Ovis aries: one gene and its partners. The protein of the gene in region 3 purifies or fractionates together with the protein of the main gene of each other region. This does not show direct contact. Links are inferred from orthologs where the notes say so. Each region holds a gene or a part of one and is shown on either strand. Other genes may lie near its edges.

Evidence for each region. Proteins that work in one complex are often made in the same cells at the same time.
Region 1: the proteins of PEX19 (region 3) and NAT14 purify together in Homo sapiens (co-immunoprecipitation; 3 studies listed by BioGRID and IntAct, counting the BioPlex papers as one, with this or other methods). This does not show direct contact. The link is inferred for Ovis aries from reciprocal best matches to the Homo sapiens genes PEX19 and NAT14.
Region 2: the proteins of PEX19 (region 3) and PXMP2 purify together in Homo sapiens (affinity purification with mass spectrometry; 3 studies listed by BioGRID and IntAct, counting the BioPlex papers as one, with this or other methods). This does not show direct contact. The link is inferred for Ovis aries from reciprocal best matches to the Homo sapiens genes PEX19 and PXMP2.

What each region holds. Positions count from the first base shown.
Region 1 is NC_056067.1:62,802,992-62,809,892, forward strand, and holds NAT14 (probable N-acetyltransferase 14), read right to left. Parts: upstream 4,117-6,901; 5' UTR 4,045-4,116; intron 3,644-4,044; 5' UTR 3,600-3,643; coding exon 3,528-3,599; intron 3,279-3,527; coding exon 3,183-3,278; intron 2,758-3,182; coding exon 2,209-2,757; 3' UTR 1,609-2,208; downstream 1-1,608. Other genes in the region: soluble scavenger receptor cysteine-rich domain-containing protein SSC5D, read right to left, coding at 136-162, 631-655; ZNF628 (zinc finger protein 628), read right to left, coding at 4,903-6,901. UniProt on the Homo sapiens protein: Probable acetyltransferase. May act as a transcription factor that regulates the expression of coproporphyrinogen oxidase by binding to a promoter regulatory element.
Region 2 is NC_056070.1:44,565,015-44,571,801, forward strand, and holds the start of PXMP2 (peroxisomal membrane protein 2), read right to left. Parts: upstream 4,117-6,787; 5' UTR 4,100-4,116; coding exon 3,978-4,099; intron 1,716-3,977; coding exon 1,599-1,715; intron 1-1,598. Other genes in the region: POLE (DNA polymerase epsilon catalytic subunit A), read left to right, coding at 4,448-4,509. UniProt on the Homo sapiens protein: Seems to be involved in pore-forming activity and may contribute to the unspecific permeability of the peroxisomal membrane.
Region 3 is NC_056054.1:111,302,552-111,309,434, forward strand, and holds the start of PEX19 (peroxisomal biogenesis factor 19), read right to left. Parts: upstream 4,220-6,883; 5' UTR 4,208-4,219; coding exon 4,138-4,207; intron 2,748-4,137; coding exon 2,638-2,747; intron 2,209-2,637; coding exon 2,043-2,208; intron 1,583-2,042; coding exon 1,497-1,582; intron 1,288-1,496; coding exon 1,126-1,287; intron 400-1,125; coding exon 223-399; intron 58-222; coding exon 13-57; intron 1-12. UniProt on the Homo sapiens protein: Necessary for early peroxisomal biogenesis. Acts both as a cytosolic chaperone and as an import receptor for peroxisomal membrane proteins (PMPs).

The DNA.
Region 1 (6,901 bases), on a different chromosome or scaffold from region 3:
GTCCTGCAGAAGTGGTGTGGGGGTCGTGGGCACACGAGGGTGGCCAGGGTCCAAGGGAGGGTGAGCCCAGGCCGGGCGTGGGGAAGGCTTGGAGCTGAGCGCACCCAGATGGGAGACGTGTTTGGGGCCACTTACCAACAGCCTGGGTCCCCATCAAAGCCACTGGAAGGGAGGTTGGAGGGGTGAGGCAGTGAGGTCCTCGCTCCTCTGAACCAGAAACCCCGCCGCCGGGAAGGAGGACTTGGGCCCAGCGCCTGGCCGAGGCCCAGGTCCTTGGGATGGGTGGAGCCCGGAGGCCTCAGGTCTGGGCAGGGGGCCAGGCCCTTGGCTCTCCCCACTGGGGGCCTGGCTAAAGGTGAATGATGGGTGAACCCCCTCTGCAGGGTCAGGGCTCATGGAGGGGAGAGGAAGTCCTGGGGTCTCCTGAGAAGGTGGGACTCAGGGTGCCTGAGGCCAGGTCCCTGGAGGATCAGTCAGAGGCAGCCAGATGTCCTGTGCTCCCCCACATCCCCCCCACCAAGCAACAGGGACGGGGCCCTGGAACTCAGAGGCTCTGCAGTGGGTCAGCTCAGGGGTCAGAGGGCCCGGCCCGGGGACCCTGAGTCCCGGAGGAGGGGAAGGGTCACTCACCGAGGAGGCAGGCCAGGACCCTCATGTTTGCAGAGTCAGGGTGGGGACAGGGTGGAAGTGGACGGGAGCAGGAGCTAGGAGGAGGGGACCGCCGACGCAGGAGGGAGGGGAGCGCCTGCCAGAGGAGCCCTGGACCCGGGGAGGAGCGGGCGGGGGCTGGACGCTCTGCAGGAGGAAGAGAGGCTGCCGAGGAGGCAGCAGGGGACAGGAGCGGGGCGGGGAGGGGGCTGGCCGGCGGCTGAGGCCTGTGGAGGAGGGCGGTGGAGGGCGGGAGGGAGGGTGTCCAACTGCAGACACCCACACAGGAGACAGCCGGCTGGCCAGAAGTGCCGCACTCAGGCTTGGGGGGCAGCAGGCTGCAGGGGAGGATCCTGACAGGGTGCGAGGGCGGGGCGCCCACCCATCTGCTGCTTCTCCTGTCCCGCCAGGGTGGTGTGCCGGAAGCAGAGGGCTTTGAGGGTGGGCTCACATCAGCTGCCGGGTTGGGGACCTGGTGCAGCAAGAGGGCTTGCAGGCAGACACCAGGAAGGACTTCCTGGACTGGGAAAGGAGACAGAGAGACTCCCTTCTCCATTCCCCCTGGTGGATTTGCAGGCAGAAGTCATCAGCCCTCTGTGTGTCTCCCAAGAAAACTGGGGTCAGGGGTCGAGAGGGCCAAGGGTCAAGACTTGGGTGGGGGAGGACGACTGCACACACACACACACACACACACAACACACACACACACGCACAGGAACGTACTCTTTCTCTCTCTCTCTCTGCACTAAGCAGCTGTGAGGCGGAAAAAATTCGGTAATGGGGAGCGTGAGTCAGAGGGCTGGCAGGGAGCTGGGCTGCCTGAGCTCATCGCCTCCCCTGCCCCCAGTCCAGCACACTCCCCCCTCCCGACAATTACTGTCAACCTCGGGAAGGAGGGGCCAGACAGAAATGGTGGGTGTGGAGGCAGACTGGAAAAGGCATCAGAGAGAGATGGCGAGCAGCGGTTACAGGCTTTATTAACAAACGGGTGTAAAAAACCAGATGGGTCTGGCCGCCCCTCTGGGCTCCCACCTTCCTGGGGAGGGGCTGGGCAGGCAGCCCTGTGCCCACCACCCCCTCCCCGGGGCTCTCTCCAGGCAGACAACACTCCCCTGCAGAAGCTTTGCTCAGCCCCTCTCTGCCTCTGCAGCCTCACCCCTTCCAAGCATGGGCATCGCCCCCCACCCTACCTCCCCGGGGCTGAGGGGGGCCCTCGTCCCTGTTTGGGGTACCCCTGCCAAGTCCTAACCCCAGTGGGGGGCGTACTTGCTCGGCCTCCTCTCCTGCCACATGTCATAGCACAAGCAACACAGGCTTGGCAGACAGACAGATAAGATTTCTCTGCGCAGACAGAATCTGAGGCAGGGGTTGGACGGGTTGAACTCTCTAAGAAGTTCAAACACTATGGATGGGCATCAGGCTGTGGCAGGGTCTCTTGCCCTCTGCGGGCCTCAGCTGCTGGGCCCTGGCGGGGGGGGGGGGGGGTAAGGATGGTGTGGAAGTGCCTGCACACAGCAGGTGCTCACTAAGTGCTGCTTTTCCTCCTGCTAGGGTCTGCAGTCACAGTTCCTTGCTGAACTCGCGCACCAGCGTGTAGCCCATGCAGCCCCAGCTCCGCTCGGCCTGGTAGCCACAGCCCTCCAGCATCCCGGCCACGCCCCAGGCTGCCACGGCCACCGGGACCACCAGGCGCGCCCGGGGTTCCCCCATGCCGCCAGCCCAGGCTCGCGCCCGGGACTCGGCAAAGGCCAGCAGGCGCCTGCCTACGCCTCGGCGGCGGTGCCAACGGGATACCGAGAGGCGGGTGACCCGGGCCCCATCCCCAGCACCGGTGCCTGGGGCCAGGGCCAGGACCCCACACACGTCCCCCGAGCCCCGGACTGCCACCCACGGCCCCCCGAGGCCGCCGGGCGGGGGCAGCGAGCCCCAGCGGGCCCGCAGGCCCAGCTTCATGGCCGCCACAGCCAGGAACACGGGCAGGAGGAGGGCCAGGGCGAAGGAGGCCAGGACGAAGCGAAGGCCGCTGCTGGCCGCAGCCAGGAGGAGCAGGGCCGGCGGCCGGGTCAGTGCATGAAGGGCCACGCGGTTCTCTGTGTCCTTCACGCCAGCCTGCGGGCAGGAGGAGCAGTCAGCGTGGGGGAGGCAGGCAGTGGGGGCGGAGGCAGGCCCTGCCTGGGGTGGGAGCAATCGGAGGGGAGGGGACAGCAGTGAGCCGGGGCCTGTGGCAAGCTTGCCGTGGCGTGAACACACTGCTGGCTGGCACACTGGGCTCTGAATGAGGGAGCTGGTGAATTAGGAACGGTGGGCGCTCCGGGTTCAGTGGAGTTGCAGGCGTGAGGCAACAGGGGAGACTGGACAGAGGCGCGGCCCCACCGAGCGGGGAAGCTGGAAGGGCCTGGGGGTCCTCGAGGGCCAGGCTTGGAGGAGGAGGAGGCCGGGGCACAGGGCTGAGGGGAAGTGAGGAGATGGAAGGGCTTGTACTGCGCGGGTTACGGCTTGGATCCATGATCGGGGAGCACTACCATCCCGCGTACCATGTGGCGTGGCCACACACACACACCCAAAACCGTTCTCAATCTCCAGGTTAGGGAGAAGGCACTAGAAAGAGGAGGGTCCAAGGCTGGAAGTGCCTTAGGAGCAAAAGATTGATTTCCAGGGTCACCGCTGGCTCAGGAGGGTGGCTGAAGCCACTCGGGATGCCCCCCCGCCCCCTCCCGGGCTCCCTGGTGCCCCTCATTCTGTCCCCGCCCTCCCAAGCTCATTGGTGTCCCCATTCTGTCCCCGCCCCTCCCGGGCTTTCTAGGTTCCCGCCCCCCACCCCCAAGTGGTACCCTCCGTCCCACGCCCCCGGGCTCAGTGGCGCTGCTAATGACTCTCACCTTCAGCATTTCCAGCACTAAGGGTTTTTCATCTTCCCTCATCTCCCGCACCGACAGGTGGCTGGGGGCCATGGCAGCCCCCAGGCTCCCGCGCCCCCAAAGGAGCAGGCGTGCACCTGGCGAAAACAAGCAGGTCAGTGTCAGGAGGGCACCTCTTGTTCCCCAAAGTGCCCCAGAGCTGCGGGCCAGCAGCGGCAGCGTGTCCAGGTCAGGAAGCGGGATGCTGGCGGCCTCCAGGCGAGGCCCGAGACAGAACAGGCTTCCCGGTCAACCCAGCGACCTTCCGAAAGCCTCTCGGGTGAAGCCCTCGCCCCAGGCGGTATTCGGCGACCCACGCCTAAAAGCCTGGTGCCCGCCAACACCTGCCAACAGCGCGCTGCCTCCAGGCCCCGCAGCTGCCCTGGGGGTAAGTGAACCCCCCCCAGCCAGGGAAAGGACCGCGCTCCCCGCTCCCAGGGCCTCTGCCCCCGGCCGCCCCCGAGCGGCGCCTGTGGCAGGAACGAGGACTTTCAGACACCTCTGTGGGTCGCTCCGGCTTTTAACAAGATGCGGGGGGTGGCAGGGTCGGGGAGGGGTCGCCGGCGGAAGTGACGTCAGACCCGCGCGCTGGGAGCGGGGCGGTGCCTGCTCTCGGCCTTAGCAACCGTTGCCAAGCGTCCGGCCTGACGGGTTAGAGCCGGGAGGAGCGGCGGAGAGAGCTGGCGTGCGGGACGCTGGCAGGGGAGGGGGCCGGACTGAAGGGCCTGGAACTATAGACCGGCTGTGGGCGGGCAGCGGGGCTTACCCAGCGCGCGCCCCGGCCGGCTTCCCGAAGGCCTCTGGTTGCTAAGCGACCTGAGCGCGGGGGTGAGGCCGCGAAGGCGGCTTGATTCCCACTGGCTCCCCGGCTTTCGCGGGCGGGGCCGCGACAGCGTCTCAGACCCACAGGTTCCCCACCTGCCCACCAGGGCTCTCAGTGACCGTTGGGATAAGCAGTCCCGCCATCCACCTATTTTTCTGCACGAGGAGGGGTGCAGTGACTTACAGAGGAAGTGGCAGAACCGGGGTTCCAGATTCCAGCGCCTCCCCCATACCGTGACTGTTGCGTCCCTTTTCTTAAAAAATGGATAAACAGGGCCCCCACAAAGGAGCAGCGGCTGGCCCCAAGACGCAAAGTCACCTGCGAACCAGGAAGCAGGGGACCCCACCAGTTCCCAAGTGGTGGCTATGGGCATGACATTGACCTCCCACCCCATCAATAAGAAGAAAAAACACGAGAGGGGATTCTGGTCTTTATTTGCAAGCCCAGCCTGCAGCTCCCTCCGCCCAGCCCAGCCCAGGCGGCGATGGGGTGGGGGCCTCTTCGTGGGGCGGGAAGAGATACCCGTGGTCCGACTCAAAACGTGTGCACCAGCTGGACCGCGGGCAGAGTCTGGACAATCTGGATGGAAGGCAGGCCCTGTGGGGCCACGCCCCCGGGTGCCGCTCCTGCGGGGACCACTTGTACCATCTGGGGGCCCGGGGCCGCAGGGACGCCCGCAGGAGCAGAGGCTGGGCCAGGTGGGGGGGGCGCCAGTAGCTGCAGCGCAGCGGCGCCTCCCCCAGCGCTGCCGTTCTCCAGCAACTCTGCGGCTGGGGCGCTGCGGATAATGAGCAGCTTCTGTCCGGGCGGGCCTGAGGCGGGCGGCTCGGCCAGACCCGACGGTAAGGTCTCTACCTCCTGCACACACAGCTGGGTCTGCTCCCCGTCGGCCCCGCTCAGCACCAGCACGCTCTGCAGTCCCTCCTCCGTCTGCAGCGTCTCAAAGAGCACATCTGGGACTACCCCCGGGCCGGCCTCGCCCTCGCCAGGCTCCACTGGGCCGGGGTCCGCCAGTAACTCCTCAGCTGCCCCGCTCTGAACCACTAGCAGATTAGGCGCCTCGGTGGTCACGGCTCCCCCGCTGGAACTGGACAGCGGACCCGTCACAGGCTGGAGCTGGACCGTGGTCACCTCCTGGGCCGGCTGGAGTTGGACGGTGGTCAGTTCCGGGGCTGGACGAAGGGGCTGGAGCTGAACCCCACTCACTTCCTGTGGGCCTGTTTCCCCACCCGCCACGTTCTGCAGAACTATGAGGCTCTGCCCTCCCACGTTCCCCGCAGCGTTGCTTCCTCTCTGCACTCCTAACCCCCCAGGGCCCGGCAGCCAGACTACTCCAGCCCCCGGCCCAGCTTTCCCCGCGGCCCGCGGGCCTTGCCGGGCGCAGCTGCCTCCCCCGGCGGGGCCGGAGGAGGGCAGCAGGATGAGCTTGGGGGGTGCTGGCGGGGGCGGGGGCGTGGGCGGCTGGACGCTGCTGGGAATCAGCTGCAGGCCCTGAGCCGTCTGCACCAGGAGAAAAGTCTGCGAGTTGGGAGCGGCGGGGCCGGGGGCCGCGGCCGGGGCCGTCCCCCCAGCCACCTCTAGGGAGAGCGTGGCCTGGAGGTGGGGGAGGACGTGCACATCCTGGGTGGCCGACGGGGCAGGGGCGGCGGCCAGCGGGGCCGGGGGCTGAGGGCCGGCCGCGGGGGCCGCGGGGGCATGCGTCCTCAGGTGCCGCTGCAGGTAGGCAGCCATGACGAAGCTGCGGCCGCAGACCGGGCAGGTGAAGGGCCGCTCGGCCGAGTGCGTGCGCTGGTGCAGCAGCAGGTTGGAGGAGTGCGTGAAGGTCTTGGGGCAGAGCGGGCAGCGGAAGGGCCTCTCGCCCGTGTGCACGCGCTGGTGCTGCCGCAGGTTGGAGGTCTGCGCGAAGCTTTTGCCGCACACGCCGCAGGCGTGGGGCCGCTCGCCCGTGTGCACGTGCCGGTGGCGGCGCAGGCATGACGTGTTGCGGAAGGCCTTGCCGCACTCGCCGCAGGCGTAGGGCCGCTCGCCCGAGTGTAGCCGCAGGTGGTACTGGTAGTGCGAGGACCACTTGAAGGTGAGGCCGCACTGGCCGCAGGTGAAGGCGCGCAGGCCCGTGTGCACACGCTGGTGGATGGCGAGCAGCGATGAGCGCTTGAAGGCCTTGCCGCACTCGCCGCACTGGTAGGGCCGCTCGCCCGTGTGGTCCCGCAGGTGGTAGCGCAGCCCCGAAGAGCCCTTGAAGGCCTTGCCGCACTCGGCACACTTGTAGGGTCGCTCCGCCGAGGCCGGAGCCGGTGCAGGGGCCGGAGGGCCGGGCGCGGGCCCCAGTGGTTCCTGCGGGCAGGTGACCTCAGCGGCCTCGGCCTGGGGGGGCGGGCGCCCGGCCGCGGCCTCCTCCACGTGGCTCTGCTGATGTGCCAGCAGGCTGGCCAGCTGCGGGAAGGCGCCGTCACAGCTGCCGCAGCGGAACGCCTGCCCACCCGCCGCCCCGTGGCTGTGCTGGTGGCGGGAGAGGCCGGCCACCGTCCGGAAG
Region 2 (6,787 bases), on a different chromosome or scaffold from region 3:
CTCAGCGCTGACCACAGAGGTCTGTGTGGCCCTTCTAGAAAACATGCTTTCAATGCATCTGCTCCAGGCATTCATTTTTGCCACTGACAGACCAGGCTTGTTCCTGCTTTGCACCCCCTTGTCATCACATGGCTGGCTCCTTCTCAACATTGTTGGCTCAGAGAGTGCCTTCCAATGGTCCTGAATAATAAACCTACCACTGTCCCAGCCACTCTCTATTCTAGGCCCTGTCCATTTTCTTCAAAGCATTTATCACTGGATGTCATGGTCTTATTTGTTTATACAGTGCCCTCTCTTCACCCTTAGAAGGTAAACGCCACAAGGCAGGATCATGTCTGTCTGTTCACTGCTCTGTCTGGAACATGGCCTGGCTCAGAGATGCTCGGTAAATAAACAGAAGCATCCCAGGTGTCAGAGCTTTTTATCAAACTCTCTACGATCATTATCAGGGCTGAGACCTGGTGCTGTGTGCTGGCTTGTCTATATTATTTTTCATTTCAAACAGCACAGGAAGAAAACTGAACCCTGCCACCATGTCTACAGGATCAACAGATCTGAGATTCCATGAAATCCAGAATCAAAAGATGAGCAGGGGCCCAGGGGCCTTCTAGCTCCACAGTGCCAAGCCTTTAAAAAAATGGTTTTCCCTTGTCTTTCTCCACCCTCTCAGAGAATGTTAACTGGCCCAGAGCAGGGCTTCTTAGAAGGAAGAGAAACAGGAAGTCTTGAGGATGGAAAACTGTGACTGGATAAGGGGAATGGATCAGAATCACTTCCAGGTGGAGGGATTATCACCCCCTCTTTGGAGGGATTAGGACTTTAAATACATATGGGAAAAGCTGTGACGACTCAAGTTAGCATGCTTACAATACAAAAAATGTTATTTGCAAATTTTTTTTTCACTGTAATGTATCACTTTATTTTTTTTTTTGGTTTTTCTACTTCTTCTTTATTTTAAATTTATTTATTTTTATTTTTATTTATTTCTTTTTCTTTTTTCTTTTTCTTTTTTTTTTTTGCACCCCCCTCCCACCTCCCTCCCCATAACATCTCTCTGGGCAAATTTTGAATTGAAAAAAAATCAATCTTATTGCAAAAGATTTCTAAAAATCCATCTATACAAACACTGTTGTTGGCCAGAGAACTCGGGGTGGATTTAATAGATAAAACTTCTGAATCTCTGTGCTTTTGCGATTTAAAAAGTAGTTCAGAAACGACAATTTTCAGGATACCTAAGGATTTCTTTTCTGAATGGTTATGCTCTGAATTTAACAACAGAAACTAACTGGTCATATTTGAGTCTGCTTTCCTCTTTCAGAGTCTTTGGGTCCTGAAGTCTGATTTCAGGTTTAGGTGCCCTCAGGCCTCTCAGCTCAATTACTATGGCTACCCTCACCCATGCAATTCAAAATAAAAACCAAATAAAACTACAAAACAAGTGAAGCTAACGTTATCCATCATTCTGATTTTTCTCCCACGATGACTTCAATGCTTTTTTAAAAATTACTTTTCTGAATTAGGTAATTCCAGGTGTTGATATCCTAGCTTTGTCGCACTTAGCCTGCTACTGAGTAAATCAGTCCCTTTATGGAACTCACCCATAGATAGCATATCTGAGAGGCCCGCTGACATCTAGCTTTTGAGAGCAGTTTTCTTTTTTCTGCTTCTTCTCAATCAACTGTGCCAGGAAGTTCCCAAGTGCTGACAAAATGCCACTGTGGAGAGAGGGGTATTCAGAACACAGAAGCGAACTACCGGGGCTGGAGGCGCGGGGCGGGAGGCGCGGGGCGGGGAGCACATCTATTCCTGCACATAATTAGCACAGTGGTTCGAAGAACATGCTGGGGATGGGTGGAGATGAACCCTTATCAGAGCAGCGAAATGTAAGTTCCCAGCATGAAAAGGTGGAGACGGCAGAACTTAATACACACACAGAAGCATGGTAAGATTTCCAATCGGTGGGTTGTATAAATGTCATATCTGGATTGTGATGATAGCCTATAATTTTAGAAAAAGTTACCCTGTGTAGTTATAAAAGGGCAACGCCAAGGGATCCTTATGAAGAAAATTTTCTTTATTTTGACTCCAGTGGTAGACACACAAACCTATACATGTGACAAAACTGCATAGATCTTAATGCCTACAGTCACGGAAGAGTACAAGAAAAGCTGGGGAAATCTGAATAAGTCCTATGGTCTGCTGTCTATACAGTGTCCTGGTTGTGATACTACAGTTTTACAGAATGTTGCCAATGGGGGAAATTGGGGCAAGTATACTAGGGATCTCCCTGTATTGTTTCTTACAACTACACGTGAATCTGGGGCTTCCCAGGTGGTGAAGAACCTGCCATGCAGGAGATGCAAGAGACACGGGTTCGATCCCTGGATTGGGAAAATCTCCAGGAGGAGGGACTGGCAACCCACTCCAGTTATTCTTGCCTGGAGAGTACCATGGACAGAGGAACTGGGTGGGCTACAGTCCACAGGGTCGCAGAGCCAGACGTGACTGAAGCAACTTAGCACACGCGCACATGTAAATCTACAATCATCACAATAAAACTTTCAAATAGAAAGATGGAGATGGGCCCAGCTGCTCAATAATTGGTCTATATCTGCATTCTGAGAAGCTTTCTAAGCTATAAAGTCCAAAATTCTTGGACGAGACAAGGAGCCTCTTGATCTGATCTTTCACTACTTCTTCCTCATCCTCTCCCTTGGCTGTTGTTCATTTTCTCCAGGAACACAGGCCCATCTTCCACTCCACCACTATTAGATTGCTCCTCCCTCAGGACCTTTGCTCCTGCTGTGCCCTCTAACCTCTGATTCCCTGTTTTGTACAGCCTGTTCCTTCTTCAGGCTTCTATTTAAGTGTCACCTCCTCAAATAAAACTTCCCTGACCACTTTATCTGTGTTATACATTTATCTACTTTTTGACTAGTTCTTTACTAGAACGCAAGATCCGTGAGGGTAGGGACAGGACTTACTTGTCTTAATCATCGCTAATGCTCCCCAGACAGGAAGCAGCTGTACACATGTATGAAAGGCTGTATTAATAAAAGGGGACAAACTTGTAAAATGGATTAATTAAAAGGAAGGGGGGGATGTCTCATAAAATGTTTAGTACTCCAAATCAAAGGGCCCACCTAACCGCAGCAAGGGGGGCACTGTGTCAGCTTTCTCCCAAATGCAAAGCTGCTGAAGCATATCTTAACATCTCCCACCCGGTCTAGCCTTCCTTGCCCTTCCTAAATTAGGTGTTCACCTCAACCCATTTAGTCCATCCGGTGGTGGCTGTGGTTTAGTCGGGAAGTCCTGTGCGACTCTTAGGACCCCAGGGCCTGTAGCCCTAGCCCGCCAGGCTCCTCTGTCCATGGGATTTCCCAGGCAAGAATACTGGAATAGGCTGCCATTTCCTTCTTCAGGGGCTCTTCCCGGCAAAGGAATCGAACCCGGATCTCTTGCATTGCAAGCAGACTCTTTACCGACTGAGCCACCAGGGAATCCCCAGCCTATCCTGGACTCAAAACAAGAGCAGGCACTAACGAACTGGAAGGTAGCTGCAGAACCTGCGCAGAGCCGAGCGGGTGACAGATGTTTCCCCCAGTCCCCTTTCACCCCGGACGACCGCCACCTCCGGGGCAGAGGGGCCGGAGGCCCCGAGGCCTGCAGCAAGTCCTTCAGCTCGGGCACTCCTTTAGTCTGGCCCCTGGGTCCACATTTTAGGGTGTTTACGAGTCACAGCTCGGAACCAAATATACAGAACAGCACGTGCTAAGAGTTCTGGTTAATTTAAGGCAATTGGAGGGTCATTTTGACACACACGGATTTTGCCTTCCACATTCAAACCCCCACGTTGGATGGATGTACCTGTGGGGCTGGGTCACCGGCCGACAGAGCTCTGGGCCGCGCCCACCCCCGCACCCCGCCTCGCCCCCACCGGCCCCGTCCAGTCCCCTCCTCCGCCTCTCTGCGCAGACCTGGTGGCCGCTTTGGTGAGTACTGGGTAGAGCCGCAAAAGGCGCAGGTACTGGGAGAGCGCCCGCCGCGGGAGCGGCTCTAGTCCAGCCTCCGCCCGCAGCTTCGACGCCGCCGGCGCCATCGCCTTCCCCGGTCCACGCCCACCGGGGGCACAGACCCCACTCTTGGCTTGTCGGGCTCTGGGCCCCAGGGCGCGGGGCGGGGACGGCCGGACATTTCCCGCCCCGCCGCGTCGCGCAGTGCCGCCGGGTACAGACCCCTGGATACGCAACGCGAACCTCCGCGCACTTTTCCCGGACTCCCTAACGGGCCACCGCCCCCTCGGGCGCCGGCGGCGATTGGAGCTTTTTGGGGCGGGGTGCGACGAGCCTCCTGATTGGGCGGTGGGGCGCTTCCGGCTTCTCGCGAGAGTCATTACAAGCGCGCCAAATTTCTACAGGGAAGTGGCGGCGGCGGCGGCTTCAGCGCTATGGTTCTGAGGAATACTGGACGACTGCGCGCGGAGCCGGGCGCGGACGGGGAGCCCAGCCGGTGAGACAGGTGGCAGGCGGGCGCCAAGGACCCTCCTTTCGGCCTGGCGGCGCAGGAGCGCCCCCTCCTTAGCGCGCGCGTCGTCCGTGAGCAGCGGCTAGAGCGGCGCTCCACTCGGCCGCCCGACGTGGGCTCCGGGTTGAGAGTCCGGCAGCTCTCCGAAGCTGCCCCCTCTCCCCGCCGTCTCTTTGTTGGCGCCGTGTCAGAGGTCCTCCGCCTGCGGCCCTTCGGCAGCGCAACGGGGAAGGGCGGCTCTAGGACGGGGGCGGGGAGGAGGAAAGCGCCATAGCTTGGCTCCTGCTGATGCGCTGCCCACGAGTTCTCAGGGTAGTAGCTGAGGGTGTCCGGTTATGCTAGGAGCGCGCGCGGAGGCCTTGCAGCCTAATCTCCGGTCGGCGCCGCAGGCCCACGGTCGGCGCATCTTGTGCTGGAGTGAGGGCGGTGGGGCTGCAAGGCTCCGGCCTCTCGGGTCCAGCCCCACTGCTTCGCGTGGTCGGGGCGGCTCTGACCGCGTTGTCTGCGAGGCTGCGGAGTAAAGGGAGCAGCTTCTGACTTAGTTCTAAGGTCAAAAGCCCTTAAAATTAAGATGTGACAGGGTTTTGTTCGTTCTGAAAGCTTTAGGGGAGAATCTCTTCTCTTGCCCTTTGTAGTTTGTAGAGCCTCCTTCCTCTATTTTCAAAAACAACACTGCCGCATTTCCAGCCTCACTCTCCTCTCTGTCTCTAATTTCTGGCTCTTATAAAGAACCTTATGATTACAGTGGATCCACCCAGATAATCCCCATCTCAAAACACCTAAAGTCATCACACCTGCAAACTCCTTTTGGTCATGTAATATAAGAGGTTCCTTGGATTAGGACACAGACATCTTTGGTGTAGGGGCTGTCAATTATTCTCTACAGCAGGTGGCTATAACTTTTTGTGAAAAATAAGGATCCTCATCTTGAAATAGGTCATTCTGTTCTTTAGGTGTAGGTGACCCAAGAAGTATCTTCAGGCAAAGGAGGTTTTCTTAAGCAAAATTCTCTGTTTATAAATTAATAACTAATTAATCATGTTACAGTAATTAAAGACATGAATTCTGCACAGGCTTGGTTCAGATCTTTTTTTTTGTCTAACTAGTCTCTGTTTTGTATATTTAGCTTTCTTAGACTGCACCATTCTAGACACATACATATTTTCTCTGCTTATTGATTTATAATAAAGTAGCTCATTTATTTACATTAAGACGAAAAGTCATGGGGTATGGATTCTTAGCTGTACACTTTTAAGGAGTGGAGAATATAGTTGGCTTAACTAATAAAGAGGCCTTCAGCCCAAAATATACAGGGGCCAGAATCTCAGAACTGCAGTTTAAGAAGAAAGTATTAATAGCATTTGCTTTTTAAGTTGGAATGCCAATATGGTAATTATTCTCTTTTGAAGATGGATAAGCCATAATTATTGTATTCTATTTAGATGGTATCACACCTGTGAAATTAAAGATTGTGAACAATTTGGGATTATTCCAATCTCTGGAATCAAAATAGATTTGGATAGTTCTGTTGATGGAAAGTCTTTGTCAAGTAGTTAATTTAAGGTTTATGATAAAATCTATATAAACAGTTATTTAACCCTAAGCAGAGAAAGGCTTGGGAGGTTTGAGGAGATATAACTGAGCTGGGAAGTGATTTCCTTTGTCAGTTGAGATAGTTCCTCTCACACTGAACAATGTTATATCCCCATTCTTATCCATATGTGGTTCTTCAAACATCCAGACTCAGGTGTCCCAGAAGATATATCATGCTTTTAAGGTACAATTTGTTCTACCACAACAGGTATTTCTGTAACCCTAGTTTGCTCACATGTAGTTGGTAAACAGGAGAATATCAGTAAAATGTGGAGATTGTATTGGTTCATTTGCAGTTTTTCCCTAGGCAAGGGGGTCAGAATCGAGTAGAATTAAACAATCTTCAGTAGAGAAGGAAAGAGCCCTTGGCTGGAGTGTGGCACGGATATGTGCCCTGTTGGCTCTGTTTGAAGACAGTTTTATCTGAGTGCCTGTACCAGCGCCTCCCTCCAATCTCAGGTGGCAGGCTACACTTTTTTCTCCTGTACTCAACAGTCATAAGCCAGGACCTTACTGCTTGTGTTATGCATTTAAAGCAAACAACTCTGTAGAAACATGGTTATTGACTTTGCTGTATAGAAATTAGAGCTGCCTTTCAGTGTTTATAAGCCAGCTAAAAGAAAAATGGCTTAGCATGGAACACTGCTGTCTTTGTGTACTCAGACACTGA
Region 3 (6,883 bases):
TGGTATACTCACCATCTCCCCAGCAAGCTCTTTTGGAGGATGGCCCAAATCTTGTAGCTGGAAAATAAAGAAAGAGGAACACGAGGTAAGACCATGCTTTGTGGCCTCCCCTGTGCTCCCTCCTCCACTTTGGTTTGGCAGTGTGGCCTCCTTTCAGGATCCGCCTGCAATGAACACTCAAGCACACAGAAGCAGCGGGCACACAGCAAACGGAGGCCTTACCTGCTGCATAAGATCCAGCACCACCTCAAAACGAGCCTTCTGAGTGGCCTCAGTGTCTGTGGGGGTCTCTGCCTCAAACTGCTCACATATTTTGCCCATGACACTATGTTGTTCCTGATATTTTTCAAATTGCTCTGGAGGTAGAGAGTCTCGGTGAGCCTGCAACCATTCTGGATACTAAGTAAACAGAAAATGGGTGGTGAAGAATTAAGTGAAGAATGCATAAGTAAGGGGAATAAAATACAAAGAACACAAAGGGGCCAGAAACAGAGGAGAAGGAAAAACTAAATAAGTTCAGCATGAGAAGCAGCACTGACTTCAATCAATCATCACCTGGCTATGCTACCATTTATGGTCACCATTTATGACAAACTTTTTCTGTGACGAGCCAGACAGTCAATATTTGAGGCTTTAAGGGCCACATATGGTTTCAGTCACATACTCCTTCTTTTGTGTTTAACAACTTTTAAAAGTCTCTCCAGTAACACTATAAACCCTTTGATGCCAGAGACCATCATTTAAACTACTCTTACAATTGTTCACAGCATAAAGTCAGTAAACCATCAGTGACATCTTGTTGGAGAAATGAATGAAATTGGAAATGCAAGAAGGAGTTGATCAGACAACAACAGAGTCTTAGACTAGTTTACAGAAAACTATTAGCTGAAGGATTTCTCCTTCTACCTTAAATATTCTCAGTAAAGTAGCTTTATTCTCTTGGAGACACAACTCCTCCCTAACTCTCCCCTTCCAAATAAATAAACAAAGGGGAAAAAAAAAAAAACAGATGAACCTGTACACTTGAGTTACTCTGTCTTTACAGTTTCTAAATAGACAAAGTAGCCCATGGGAATTGATACAATGAGGAATAAGGAGGAAAAGCATAAACAGAAGCTCACAAACCTTTTCTGTGATTTCCTTCAGTGATGGGTACAGCACATCCTTGGACAGTAGGTTCTGCATGATACTCTGCATGATGGGGAGGATGGTCCCTTCCCCATCCCCTTCGTCCATGCCCAGCCCTTCCATGGCCTTGGTCAGTTCCTCTTCTGACATGCCAGAGTTCTAGAAAGAACAGAAGAGAAATGAGCAAGTATACCACCTTCTTGGGACACTAACCAACTTTTCAGGTGGGAAAGAACTATTTAAACATGCCTGTAGCAAAATAAGCAAGAACAGACTTGAGATGACACCCAAGAGAGTCTGTCTTTTGAGGCTCTGCCGGTGAAATCTCTGTGAGTGGGACCCATGTGGTTCCCCATCTTCCCTCTCACCTGAAGGTCAGTGGCATTCTTGGCTAGTCCACTTAACGTCTCCTTTAGGCAAGAGGTGAATTCTTGTTGGGAAGTCGCATCACTGCCTGGGAGAGATGAAAAGAGCCTAGGTCATTTAGGATTTTAACTGCTTGCTTAAGACTGACCTGGTTACCAGCTTGGACATGGAGCATTTACTAGTGAATTGCTACACTCCAAATCTTTGAATACGTTTATCTTCATAGTTATTTTCATAAATCTACATGGACTGTGTCTCAGTTTGTTCTCTACAATGACACCCACATTAACACTGATCTTTAAAATTATCACTTTTCAAAATAAATAAATAAAAATGAAATTATCACTTTTCAATAATCTTTTCTGTTACTTTCCAACCTATCTCACCCCTTTCATTAAACAGGGTCTCCTTTTTCCTTCCATCTCCTCCCCCATCCCATGGCAGTGGTATCATAATTACTGTCAACTTTTACAAAAAATTTTGGTGTTGTCAAGGGACAATAACCCAAGAGGTTTGTTCAGATATTTCGCACTGTTTCTCTTCCTTACCTACTCTCCCAGCAGCCTCTGAAAGCTTTTGGAACTGCTCTACCAGGTGGGGCTCTTCCTCAGCCAACTCTTTCATTGCTTTCTCAAACTCTGCAGTGGCTTGGGAAGCCAGCTCACTGTCAAACAGTTCCTGGAAAAACTTCTCCTGGGAGGCGAAGAGGGCATCCTGCAGGGGAGAATGTGGCCAAAGCGCATCTCTTACTTGGCACCCCAGTGTACATGGTTTCTGACAGAAGCCACAGGCAGTGGCGCTGGGAGGTGCAGTGCTTCCCTCCTACCCACCTCCATTGGGCATTCTGACTACTTCCCTTCATGAGAACAGCAAAAAGGCCATCTGGCCACTAAGGGAAGGCTATGGGCTGGTATTCCCAATCCAACCATTTAAATCTGTTCTTTTCTTAAGGAACTTCCTTGAGATCCCTGTACTCAATCTCAAGTCCCTGTTTCACAAGGACTGAGGCCTGCAAGAGCACTCACCAATGTGAGGCCAAGGCACCCTCCCCGACTCCCCTCTGGCCCACAAAGGCCTGCCCCACCTCTGCTTGGAGCTGCACGCCCACACCCTCCCCATCCCTTAAGTGGGTGGAATTTATACTTTGGCAGTGTCTCCTGGCGATCTCTTCTGGGGCCCTGAAGCATCAGGGGCCGTGGTGGTAGGAGGGGGTGCTGGGGAGGGTTTGGCCTTATCGAAATCATCAAGAGCACCTTCAGAGACAAGAGACACAGTGTATGTGTTGGTGATGGATGAGAATGCAAGGCTAGAGGGGTTTCTGAGCAAAGCATTAAGAAAACAATCTTTCAAGCTGCCAACCTTCCTAAAATGCTCTCCTTTTTTTTGAGTCTCCCTCTCCTGACCCACTCCTCAATAAGCTTCTCCCTCCCCCTCCCCATTACCTAACATACTGTAATCACAGGGGAAGAAGTCTCTTAAGGTGTAAAAAAACATCTCTCAAAGCTGTAAGAGGACAGTTCATCTACACAATGCCTCTTTGCCATACTTTAATGGTTCCTAGAAATCCCATACAGATATTCAAGAGAAACAGAGAACACAGATGTCCTTAACCCCCCTAGAACTCACTCTGGAGCCCTACAAGGAATAATCTTTGGCAAGAGAGCAGAAGCCTTAAGATGTTTCACCCAGCTTCCCATGGGTCCTGGTACAAACTGAGGGACTCCATATTATACTCCACGGGAGGGCCCTGAACTCTCTTTTCTCTTTCAATTTAGGTCTCCCTCCCCAGAGTTGCTAGAGCTCCCTGTGGTCTCATCTCTGCAGACTCACACAGTCACTTAGCACTTCTCACCATTTCTGTTCACCTTTCCGCCTGCCCACTCTGTGACTGAGCAAGAGACAATAAATATTCACCTCGACCCTGAAAAGCCTGTGTTCTCACCACCACTATATTTGCCAGGCCTAGGGGGAAAGACACCAGCCCCACTCTGGACAAGAAACCAAACCAGACAGGAGTGGATGGCAGGGCTGAGGAGGAAAAGTACAGCCACCTTCTTTCCAGAGTGAACTGTCTTCCCCTGAGGCTGTCTCATCCTGTTTTTCAAACTAATGGGAAGGGTTTGAGCTCTGACATGATGAAAGAACTGGAAAGGGGCCTGGTGGATGAAAGGACTGGGAGAAAAAAAGGAGTGTCTTTTCTGTTAAGGAGGGCAGGACAGTTAACAGAAGAACGCACTACAGGCTTCCTAATAGTTAATGGAAGCAATTCGTGGTTGTTCGGTTCGCTGCCCCCTGAGGACCAAATGCTGCTGCTGGTGGGGAGAAAGTCAGACTTCAGAACTTACTAAAGTAAGGGGAGTTTGGAGAGGGAGCGTGAAACGTCCTCTGGGTTAGCTTCCCCTCCGGCAGGGCGATCAACAGTGTGGGCCGTTCAGGGACCCAGAGAGAACTCCTCAACTACCGCTGCAGAGGAAGGAGAGGGTGACCCAGAGATTTTCTCGAGGGTCGCAGTCAGACTCTCCGCCCCCGTCCAGCCTTTGGAGAGCCTTTCTTACTCCGCCCCAAACATCGCAGGTTTACTTAACCCCCTGAATGGATCCTTACATCCGCCCTCTTTGGGGCTTTCCCATGACGGGCTCTTACTTTCCAGAAGCTCTTCCAATTCCCGGTCGGCTTCGGCCCGGACACCACCGTCCCCCTCAGCCGCGGCCATCTTGCCACCTCTGACTTGCCGTAGGAGGTGGGACTCCGAGGCTCCGCGCCCCGCCCCTGTGCCCGCCCCCTCTGCTCGCGCAACCAATGGTATTGTTGGTCCGTGCCGGGCCGCCATTTTTAAAGGGACAGGATGCTCCGATTCCCGCCCCCGCCACCCCTCTTCTTTCTACTGGCACGCTGACCTAACAGAGGTGAGTTTGCTCTTACCTTCTGCCAGGTTTTTTTTTGTTTTTGTTTTTACTGGCCTGGCTTCCTTTCTTTCAACTTCCCACATTACCTGGCTTTCTTATTATTTTTTTCCAGAGCTGTGGGTATGCCAAATTGGCACAAACTGCCCACGAGCCACCAGAAGCTCTGCGTTTGTAATCAATAAGGAAGTTACGGTATACCCAACATGGTAGTTTTCTCTCACTTCAGTATTTTACTCATATGTCATCTTCTCTGAAATGCCTTCTTTGGCCTCACTAAATAAAACTGCAACCCTTCCCACACACATACATATACAAATCCTGCCCACTTTCCCTCCATTTCTCTCAAAACTTACCTCTATGTGACATACTATACGTTTTACTTATTTATCGTTTTTATCTCCCGTTAAGCCCTTTGCAGTTTAAGCACGATGATGGCAAGGATTTTCATCCGTCATCTTCACTGCTGCATCCCTAGCTCCTGGGCTGGGGATTAAAATTTGGGCATTCATTGTCTACTCTTTGCTCTCTCAGATCCTAAAGAGGCATGTTTCTCTGCAGAATCTACTGGCTATCTCACATTTCCTGTACCCCATTAAAACTATCACAGGGCCAAGAACTTAGAACTCGATATTAGTCTAATCAAATCGGGTAGAAAAGCGACTCTTGGACTTTGGATTAAGCAAAAAGGTACTGTAGAGTTCCTTCCCTGAACAGAAAAACATCTACTTGTGCTTTATTGACTACGCCAAAGCCTTTGACTCTGGTTCACAACAAACTGTGGAAAATTCTTCAAGAGATGGGAATACCAGACCACCTGACCTGTCTCCTGAGAAATCTGTATGCAGGTCAAGAAGCAACAGTTAGAACAGGACATGGAACAACAGAGTGGTTCCCAATAGGGAAGGGAATCCACCAAGACTGTATATTGTCATCCTGCTTATTTAACTTATATGCAAAATACATCATGAGAAACACTGGGCTGGATGAAACAGGAGCTGGAAACAAGATTGCTGGGAGAAATATCAATAACCTCAGGCATGCAGATGACACCACCCTTATGGCAGAAAGTGAAGAAGAACTAAAGAGCCTCTTTCACTTTCTTTTTTTCTTTCACTTTCTTGATGAAAGTGAAACAGGAGAGTGAAAAAGTTGGCTTAAAACTCAGTATTCAGAAAACTAAGATAATGCATCTGGTCCCATCTGCTGCTGCTGCTGCTAAGTCGCTTCAGTCCTGTCTGACTCTGTGCGACCCCATAGACGGCAGCCCATCAGGCTCCCCTGTCCCTGGGATTCTCCAGGCAAGAACACTGGAGTGGGTTGCCATTTCCTTCTCCAATGCGTGAAAGTGAAGAGTGAAAGTGAAGTCGCTCAGTCGTGTGCGACTCTTAGTGACCCCATGGATTGCAGCCTACCAGGCTCCTCCATCCATAGGATTTTCCAGGCAAGAGTACTGGTCCCATCACTTCATGGCAAATAGATGGGAAACAAGGGAAACAGTGAGAGAATTTATTTTCTTGGGCTCCAGGATCACTGCAGACAGTGACTGTAGCCGTCTGCAATCGGCTTGCTCATTCGAAGAGGACACTTGCTCCTTGGAAGAGAAGCTATGACCAACCTAGACAGCATATTAAAAAGCAGAGATATTACTTTGCCACAAAGGTCCATCTAGTCAAAGCTATGGTTTTTCCAGTAGTCATGTACAGATATGAAAGTTGGAGTATAAAGAAAGCTGAGCATTGAAGAATTGATGCTTTTGAACTGTGGTGTTGGAGAAGACTCTTGAGAGTCCCTTGGACTGCAAGGAGATCCAACCAGTCAATCCTAAAGGAAATCAGACCTGAGTATTCACTGGAAGGACTGATGCTGAAGCTGAAACTCCAATACTTTGGCCACCTGATACGAAGAACTGACTCCTTGGGAAAGACCCTGATGCTGGGAAAGATTGAAGGCAGAGGGAGAAGGGGATGACAGAGGATGAGATGGTTGGATGCATCACCGACTCGATGGACATGAGTTTGAGCAAGCTTCTGGAGTTGGTGATGGACAGGGAAGCCTGCGTGCTGCAGTCCATGGGGTCACTAAGAGTTGGACATGACTGAGCAACTGAACTGAACTTCTCCGACCTATGGCCTTTGCTCTACACAAAAGTCAATCATGTGTAGTTGGGGGAGGCTCAGATAAAGACAACTCCAGACATCCCTTCCCTTCTCTGGAATTGTTCTATTTAGATCTGCCAGAATGCATCAACTGCCTAGACAAACCTACTTTACCACTTAGAGGGCATCTACTGGTGTTCAAGATCCTATGTGGGGCACCGTGGAGGACAGAGATAAATCAGGACCAGCCCTTGCTATTAAGGTAGTTGACTGGGCAATAGGCTGGAGGTAGGTATAGACACAGACACAGTAAGTATGGCCAAGGTCATTGTCTTACAAGAATTCAGGATAAAGTATCATAAAGTTTAAAAGGGAGAAACCACATCT